Linked DNA regions of Yarrowia lipolytica. The protein of the gene in region 2 interacts with the protein of the main gene of each other region in a pairwise test. Links are inferred from orthologs where the notes say so. Each region holds a gene or a part of one and is shown on either strand. Other genes may lie near its edges.

Region 1 (3,502 bases), on a different chromosome or scaffold from region 2:
TCGATTTTTGAGGGGCGAAAATAGTACGAGCCGCAAGTGAGGTGGTCTCAGTAGAAAAATGAAAGGTGTAATTAAAAGAGACACATTTATATTAAATGATGGTTACATAGTGTGCACACTGAGCCCTAGTATGTTATACACCATTCTCGTTAGTAATTGCTCTACAAGTAATCTATTACACATCCGCCTCATGGGTCTTTAAGCGCGACGTTGAAGCGTGCATGACTGTTCTGTGGTGACGAGAAACGAAGTCCTTCAACATAGACAACATCTTCTCCTGGCATGCCAACACTAATGCACGACGACCCCTTGGACGATGAGGAGGAAGAAGAGCCTCCACGAAACATTGGACGGGTGGTCTTTGGCCCTCGTGAATTCGACACGTGGTACCACTCGTCGGCATACTATTTTTCACAGAAGGACGAACTCAAGAAGTTGACCTGGAAGCGGGCCATGGCGTTGATGGAGGCCAAGGCCCTCGACAAGGACAAGGACAATCACACCTGCGACATGTCCCGGCTCTTCATTGAGCGCTACAGCTCTCCGTCTGTTGGCACACCTGGAGGAACCTCTTCTGCATTAACATCCTCAACCATTTCGTCCTCTGGATCATCAGCAAACGCATCTGTGGCCCCCAATGACCAACCACCAGCCCAGGTCGACTTCCAGGTCAAACAGCTGTTTGTCTGCGACTCGTGTTTCAAATACTCGAAGGTCTCCAAGGACATGGCCCAACACCGAAGCACCTGCAAGTATGTGTTCAAGCACCCCGGAGAGACGGTTTACAAATCGAAAGACTATGCCATTCGCCGTGTTGATGGCGCCGTTCACAAGCTCTACTGCCAGAATCTCTGTCTGTTCGCGAAGCTCTTCCTGGACCACAAGTCTGTGTTCTTCGGCGCCGATGCCTTTGAATTTTATGTTGTGCTCGGCAAGGATACCGCCAGCAGCAGGCACTTTAAACCCATGGGCTTCTTCTCCAAGGAGAAACTGTCGTGGGACGAAAACAATCTGGCTTGCATTCTGGTATTTCCTCCGTATCAAAGGCGAGGGCTGGGCAAACTGCTGATCGAGTTTTCATACGTGCTGTCGAAGTACGAAGGCCGTAAAGGAAGTCCAGAGCGACCGCTGTCGAAGTTCGGCACTTTATCATATATGTCTTACTGGTGTACTACGATAGCCCGGTTCATCTTGATAGAGTGTACAGAAGACGTCATCACGATTGAGACGATCAGCGAACATACTTATATCCAGCCGGAAGATGTGATGCGAGCACTCAAAGAAATGCATGCTGTAGTTCTCTACAGCGACGAAAAAGCCAAGAAGGTACAACTGGGAGGACGGGTTTTGAAGAAATCTGTTAGACGTTGGGTTAACAGTGGCAATGTGAAACTGAGCCCTGTGATTGACGAATCCATGGTGTTTTTGGAGTGACAAAGATGGAAGTTGATGTTACAGTCAAGACCTATTTAAGCCGCGAGCTACAGGTCTTCTGGCTGACTGGGTGCTACATTACTATGCCCCAGACCATATTGTTTCATGTAATGTACATATATTTATAATGCAAGGTGATAATGCCTGGACCGGGATCATAACGGAACAGGGTGTATAATAGTTGTGAATCTAGTTCTTTCGAGGCTTGACCAGACCCTTGTAGACGAAGTAGTAGACGATGGTGGAGTCATTGTCCACGATGGCCATTAGCATGCGATCGACGTCTTTTCCAGCCACACCCTCAGCCTCGCGAAAACACTCGTCCCACTGCTTGATAGTCCAGTCGTCGTTGGATCTGGCAGGTACTAGCCATTCCGATCTGATCTCAGCGTCATCAGGGTGCAAAGTCCTGGGTGGAGTTCCATGCACCAGGTCTGTGAGCTTAGTCTGGTGGATGACCACGTCGCTCCACAGATGCTGATGAACAAGGTTGGTTCTTATTTGTTCAGCCATGGTGAATGTGTGATTGATAGTGGTTGTTTTGTTCAGTATCTGTGCCAGTCGTCTACCACTAACTTTTTCTGCTTACTGTGCGTCTCAAAGTTTCTGCGGGCGCGTTATCTCCGTCGGATTTAATTTTTAACGGTCCTAGGAAAATCTGCATATGCTGGAAAATACTCGTGTTTGGGAGAAGACTTGGGTGCCACCAAAAACCTGGATTAGGCTCAGAACTCTACAAGTCCGGGAAACGTAACACTGAGATACGACTGGCGAAAGCGAGGCGGCGGTAAGTCCGTGAATATAATGCTTATTGACCGTTTGAGGGCGTTTAATATGTTGATTCACTGTTATGAACATTTTTGCTGCTCGAACGCACGTTTTACGCCTCCAAACGCCCGACTTTTCACCCGTTTCTCCTCCCAGCCGTACAAACATTCTGCTTATACTTCATGTATCTCATTTTTTGAGCTAAATCACGCATCAGGTTTAAAAACACACATCACCCTCCAACAGTCTTCCTAACACACCTGTGAAGTCACGACCATTTTCGCCACCGCCTAAAAACACGTTGAAAACAAGAGTATTTGAGCTCAGCATCTGCCCTAGTGCCCCCCAAACCCGCATTCGCACGCTACATCGCATAGCCTCAACACACGTGTAACACTACTGTACACAACAATGAAATTCTCGGTACTTCTTCTTGCCGGAGCCGTTCTGGCGCTGCCAACAGCTACCGTGGTAAACACCGAAGCCATCGACTACTCGACCATCACAGATTTGCCCGGATCCGAGCCCACAGACGTGTCTGACCTCGAGAAGCGAGCAGACCCCTTTAAGCGACCCCCCAAGGTGTTCTCCAAGAAAACTAAAATCACAAAGGCCCATGTGACCAAGCCGTGGCTGCTGAAGCCCACAGATGGAGGTGAACCCATGCATGTCACCCCCACCGTCTGGGGAGACGCGCTTTTCCGAGGCCAGCGACAGGTGGGTGCTGTTCCCAACCCTTGGATCAAGCTGAAGAAGGACGGTCAGGCCAAGACCATCACTCCCAAGGTGGTCAAAGGAAAGACTAAGAATGCTCCTCCTGAGTATGGAGACTGGTTCCACGTCAACCGAGACGTGACTGAGAACGCTCGTTCTGCTGGCTACAAGACCGCTCACCCTACTGATGTCGTGGTCCACAATGAGATGTTGGACGAGGAGGATCCCATCGAGGCCTCCTTCAACCCTGTTGAGCGATGCACACCCGAGAAGTTTATCAAGGTGAAGAAGCAGCGAGTTGGCCCCTGGTGCTCCCCTCAATACGGAAAGGGTGTCATGCTTGATCACGTCCACTGGTTCACCTGGTACACCCGAGAATTCCCCGACGCCGAGAAGGTCCGACTCCACTGCGCATACATTCAGGGTAAGGCTCTGCACAAGCGAGAAATTGAGGACAGCAGTGTCTTCCACATCACCGAATGGGTGTCAAACACCTGGGGAGTCTACCCTATGGAGATTGAGGAGGAGTGGCTCGATGGCGAGTACGAGCAGAAGGTTGCCGTTGCTATCCAGCCTGACTACATGG
Region 2 (5,239 bases):
GGGGCCGATGGTTTGTATGGGAAGCGGATATGGTGGGGTTCCTACTCGCCAGAACATTTTTTAGGCTGTTTCTATTTCGGTGGTAAGTTCAATACTGTAAGTTCGAATCTCGGCACCAACCTAGATGAAATGAAACCTTTGCGTGGGAGCCAAGGAACGGAGAAAGAAGTGTGTAATAATTACCATGGATGTGTAACAGGCTGTGTTGCCAAGTGTTTGTGAATATTGTAGTGTCATGTGTTTGTCAAGTGTGTGGCGTACTGGTGCTTAGCCAGGGACTACAGTATCGTACAGTAGCAATGCTTGGTTGTTGCTTGATACACACCTCAGATAAGCTACTGCAAGGGCGGTGGGCATGATGATCTGGAGTGGAGATTATGGGGTAGGTGGGAGGATCCAAGTGGAGATCGCACTGGCTGGGGAAAAGACATTTGGGCTGAAATCAAGCCGAGACACGGCGATACACCCATTGTGGGTCTGTTTTTATCACACACGCCACATAATATCTGTTATCAAAAGCAAACCCGGGCTAGTCAAGTCAAGTGTTACATGTCCGCTATTTCCTCCACTTTGGTCAAGCCACATTTGCTCGTTTTGGTTGGGGTCTTTTCGAGGCAGCTGTCTTTGCGACTCACGGACTAAATGGCTGAATGAGGCTCACTTTAGTTACAGGGGCTGGTGTCATAATCGAGCTGACAGCAATGACACAATAGTTGGTTGAGAGTCGTCTCTGTGCGGTGCATACTACAGTAAGGTGCTTCATGTATCGTACCATGCTGCAAACACACATTCATTTTCTGAATATCTCACTCTTCCCTCATTCAACGCTTCATTTATTCACCATATATCTCACTTCCTCTTCTGCTTCTCCGCTAACCGCGCTCCAGGTGTGGCGCCGATTATAGCTTGGCTGTGTGAGCCCCATGAGTCGCCGGGGCTTTGCCTCTGAAGAGGCCCCTCGACGAACATATTCAAGCCACATTTGGCTGTGCACTTGATGAGGTAAATCCTGAAAATGTTGTGGTCAAAATAATGCCAATGGTAAAATCGAGGGTACTTGTAGCTATAAGTAGTTCTGATACCATTGCTTATTATCTTATAAATTTTCTCCATTTTTCATATCGAGTCTCCAAAGTGCGACGGGCGTACGAGTCCCTCTTCCCGAGACTACTGTAATACAGTATCATAGCTATCGTACAGTAGTTAATGTTCGTAGACTGTATTCCAAAAACAGCGTATAGCCGCAAGCAAGCTTGATGGTGAGAGCTTAGACGAATGGTTAAGGAAAACGAAAACGAAAATCGACTGAATGGTCACGTGGAAACAAGGGATTTACTACGTTGCTGTAGTCGGCAGGAGAAGACGACATCACCACACTTCTCTGTTTGTTCCTATTGTACGTGTAAGGCTACTGTACAAATACATGCTGCATCAAGGTGGGCTCTGGTGTGAGCAGGAATATCTATGTACTTGTACTTGTACTTGTACTTTGTAGGAAGCGACAGCTTTTGTGAAGCTCAAAGAAGCTCTACAGTATATCTGGTGAACGTCAACAGTTGTTTTTCTTGATGGTTTCATCTCCTCGCCGTAATTTTTCATACGACACCAAAATGAAGATCATATGGCAAACCCTTTGACATTGTATTGTAAAAGAACCTATAAACAACACCACAAAGGTTTCTTAAAGAAAACATTGCGGTCTTTGTCAACGATCTATATTATAAGTAGCAACAACCCAATCAGATCCCTCAGCTTTTTATTATCATTTTTCATTATAGTATGTACATTGTCACCCACTCTTCATCTAACCAAAACCACTCCACTCAATGCAATACACACTGTCCCCACCCTCGTCATTCTCTCCCCCAAGAACAAGACACTTCTTTACATTAGTTCCAAGACGCCCTCCTCCAACAATAACACTTTTGATGGGGAATTTCTCCTCATACTCCTTGCCAATAGCAATGTAATGGGAGTGGTATCTGACGGAGTCTCCGGGGTATGCCAAAAAATTGCCTCCAAACCGCAGGCCAGGTGACAAGAAATACCCTCGGGAATGCAAAAAGTTGAAGATATAATACTGAGCCGAAGTCACGTGCTCTAGCAGGTCGCTCAGCACATTCTCCTTGCTGAACATGTTGTATCCCTCCAGCGTCTCATTTGTAGTGGTAGCATCAGTGACGTATGATATGGCGTTATCAGTAGCAACCACAACCTCCTTGTCAATCTTCCCGCTCATTCCCTTCTTCTCAAGAGCCTGCCGACGTCGCTCAAGCATACCCTCTGTATACTCCTTGATCTGCAGTTGCTGGGCTGTATGGCGTTGTTTTTCGTAGTTTTCGATATCTTCAGGCGTTTGGGAAGTAAGGGCTGTCACATGACTTGCACTATCGTCCACAACCTCTGCAATTCCATTCTTCATCAGAAATATCACCTCTTCCTTGAACAGTTGCAGTGGCAGGCCACAGAAGACATTCTGTTGGGGGATTTGAGGTAGCGTACCGATTAACGTGCCTCCAATGAGATGCTCTTGCCGGAGAAACCGGATGTCCTCTACCTTAAACACCAGATACTTGTCGTTGATGCGTTTGATCTGGATCATGATGTGGTGAGGAAAAAATTAGGTGGACAGAAATATGCATCAAAATATGTACAACCATGAGCTTATTTTCGATAAGGCCGAAGTTTAATCGGTGGTGATGAAGGGCTTGGGAGGGGGTTGTGGAACAGTAAGGAGCGAGATGAGTAGACGTTTTTCGAGAACTTGTGGTACAATGTTATAACTTCTAAAATTCGACACAACATATATTTTTGGTGACTTTAGAAGGCTAAATAAATGGTCTATAGTGTGTTTCAGACACGCATTCTTTGTAACGGAAGCTACTTGTAGTTGTAGTGAAAATTCATGGAGAACATTGATGCTTTGGTACGATACAGTAGACTGTAAGTGGTTATCAATTTTTTACTGACTATACCGTTTCAAATTCTGTATGACGGATAAGAGACATCTGTGTGAGCTCAATCCTAAAAGGGACCAGGCAAGCCTGAGGATATGATGATTCTGTTGAAGGATCTAATATTTCAGTTTCAGCAAATTCATTAGGGTAGCTGAATACAGCTGAAGTATTTCATCCTCCTCACACCTCCTACAATAGGCCTCCGGTATGACCTGAACGCCTCGCAGTTCGCTACTCGTAGCTTCTATATCGACATCTCCCATTGAGACAACATGTCCCGCCAGTGTCACATAAACAAATTAAAAACATTGTTACACATCTAACAAAACAGACATGGTCACTTATTGTCCCACCTCATTGCTGCTCACGTGGTAGCTTCTCTCTGACTGAGCGAGCAGACTTTGAGTCCAGTAGCCAAAACACTGCCTTCATCTCCAGATCCTTACTACTCGTCTTTCTTCTTAAAGTACTGAGTCATCTCCTTAATCCACTTGGGCTCAATGACCACCAGCTCAGCCTCAGCAAGCACGTTCTGCTTCTTCTTCTCCCACAGATCACCTCCCTCAAACTTCTCGATAGATCCGTCAGCAATTACCTTTCGGCCCTGAATGTCCTTAGTCTCCACTCGCACCATGAGGTACTGGTTCTCTCGAACTGGTTGTCGGTAATTGATCTCCAGGGTGCCAGTCACTCCGTACTGCTGAGAGGGCAGGCTGGGGAAGGCCCCCAGACATACAAACTCATCCAGCAGGGTGCCCAGGAAACCACCATGCACGATTCCAGTGTGTCCGTTTAAATGGTCGCCGACGTGCAGAAATGCATACATGACACCGTTCTTTCCGTCATCACACCGCTTGTAGAACAGCAGTGGATCAACGGTCAGGTATCCAGGCTTCTTCAGAAACGACTCCAGGAATCCTCGAGAGTACTCCAGAGGAATCTTCTCACTCAAACGGGTCTCACGAAAACCTTTCTCCCGCAGCTCCTTGGCGAATTGACTGTTGTGAAGAAAGGTGCTCTCCTTGGAGTGAAAATGATCCTTCTCGGTAGCAACCGGATAAGTCAGCTCATGACGCCCCAGAGCACCGAAGTGGTACCCGGTCATGGCAGTAGCTCCAGCAACGAGCGAGAGTCCAAAGATCTTGGCCGTCCTTGCAAGCGTCGCCATTGTGTTTGGTGTGTTGTGTGTTAGGTGACAGTGATAGAAGAGAGGTCACTGTGGGAGATATCCGGGGAAGAATAGAGTTTATCCACAGGTGGGGTATTATGCCCTGAGTGACATTCAGGTGGCATGTACGCGTATATGGGGTTGGGGTGAGTAAGGAAATCAAGTTTCTAGTCTACTTAGAAAAGAATGCGCTTTTCAGAATTTACTCATCATCTGTATTGGCCAAGATATAGTACAGTATGGTCAGATACCCAATTGATGACGCTTGAACTCTATGAGGAAGGGCTGGAGAGTCTGTGTTTTGCTAATGGGCACACCTGCGAGAAAATGAGTGACTTTTCGGGAAAAGAAGAAGGCTGCATGTTGATTTAGTTTTTCAGCTAACCTCTCAGATCAATATCACGTCTTTTGAAGTACGCCGGCAGGTACAGTTACGGTACAGTGTACTCATCAGTGGTGTAGCCAAACTATGCTCATTGGTGGGTGTCAATGAGGATGGATGCAGGAGCTGCGAACAATCTGTTACATTCACCAACTTACATGTAGAAAACAGAGCACAATTCAGCTTTTAAAACCGAGATGGCTCCAATATTGAACCCAATGGTTGGTCCCTGGAAAGTCCCTTCATCTGAGAAATGTGCCGCGAAGGCTACAGTAGCCCACCTTGTTGGGTGACAGAAGACAAAAAGGGCTGATAGAGCATCATAAAACAGTTCCGTAAAATAAAAATGTAACTTAAGAAGCCTTCAGAAATCATATCCACATCCTATCAAGTTATTCTGATCTACAGTATGTACTGTCCAGCTTCACTCAACGACTTGGTAGGTGCTGTGTCTAAAAATTATGAGTACAAGTAATTACGTGATACATATATAAAAAAGAGGGAATACATCTGACTCAGAGTGACTGACACACTAAATGATTCCATTGGAACAGCTATTAAATCCACAGAATAAACAAAATACTCACTCGATCGTCTCTTGTCATTCCCTTCAAGTAAATCACCAAAATAAGTTTCATAAGACGGAATCTTAGAAACTTCTAGTACCCGTCAACCGTAACAATAGAAGATCAGGTTGACTATTGAAGCAAATCGACCTAGTCTCCTCAGTTG

The links. The genes of interacting proteins can lie anywhere in the genome.
Region 1: the proteins of YALI1_E33858g (region 2) and YALI1_D35126g interact in binary tests that used the Saccharomyces cerevisiae proteins (3 or more experiments, as listed by UniProt). The link is inferred for Yarrowia lipolytica from reciprocal best matches to the Saccharomyces cerevisiae genes SEN34 and SEN15.

The regions. Positions count from the first base shown.
Region 1 is NC_090773.1:3,510,984-3,514,485, reverse strand, and holds YALI1_D35126g (uncharacterized protein), read right to left. Parts: upstream 1,948-3,502; coding exon 1,624-1,947; downstream 1-1,623. Other genes in the region: YALI1_D35143g (uncharacterized protein), read left to right, coding at 283-1,434; YALI1_D35119g (uncharacterized protein), read left to right, coding at 2,614-3,502.
Region 2 is NC_090774.1:3,383,161-3,388,399, reverse strand, and holds YALI1_E33858g (uncharacterized protein), read right to left. Parts: upstream 2,603-5,239; coding exon 1,805-2,602; downstream 1-1,804. Other genes in the region: YALI1_E33843g (uncharacterized protein), read right to left, coding at 3,403-4,125. UniProt on the Saccharomyces cerevisiae protein: Constitutes one of the two catalytic subunit of the tRNA-splicing endonuclease complex, a complex responsible for identification and cleavage of the splice sites in pre-tRNA. It cleaves pre-tRNA at the 5'- and 3'-splice sites to release the intron.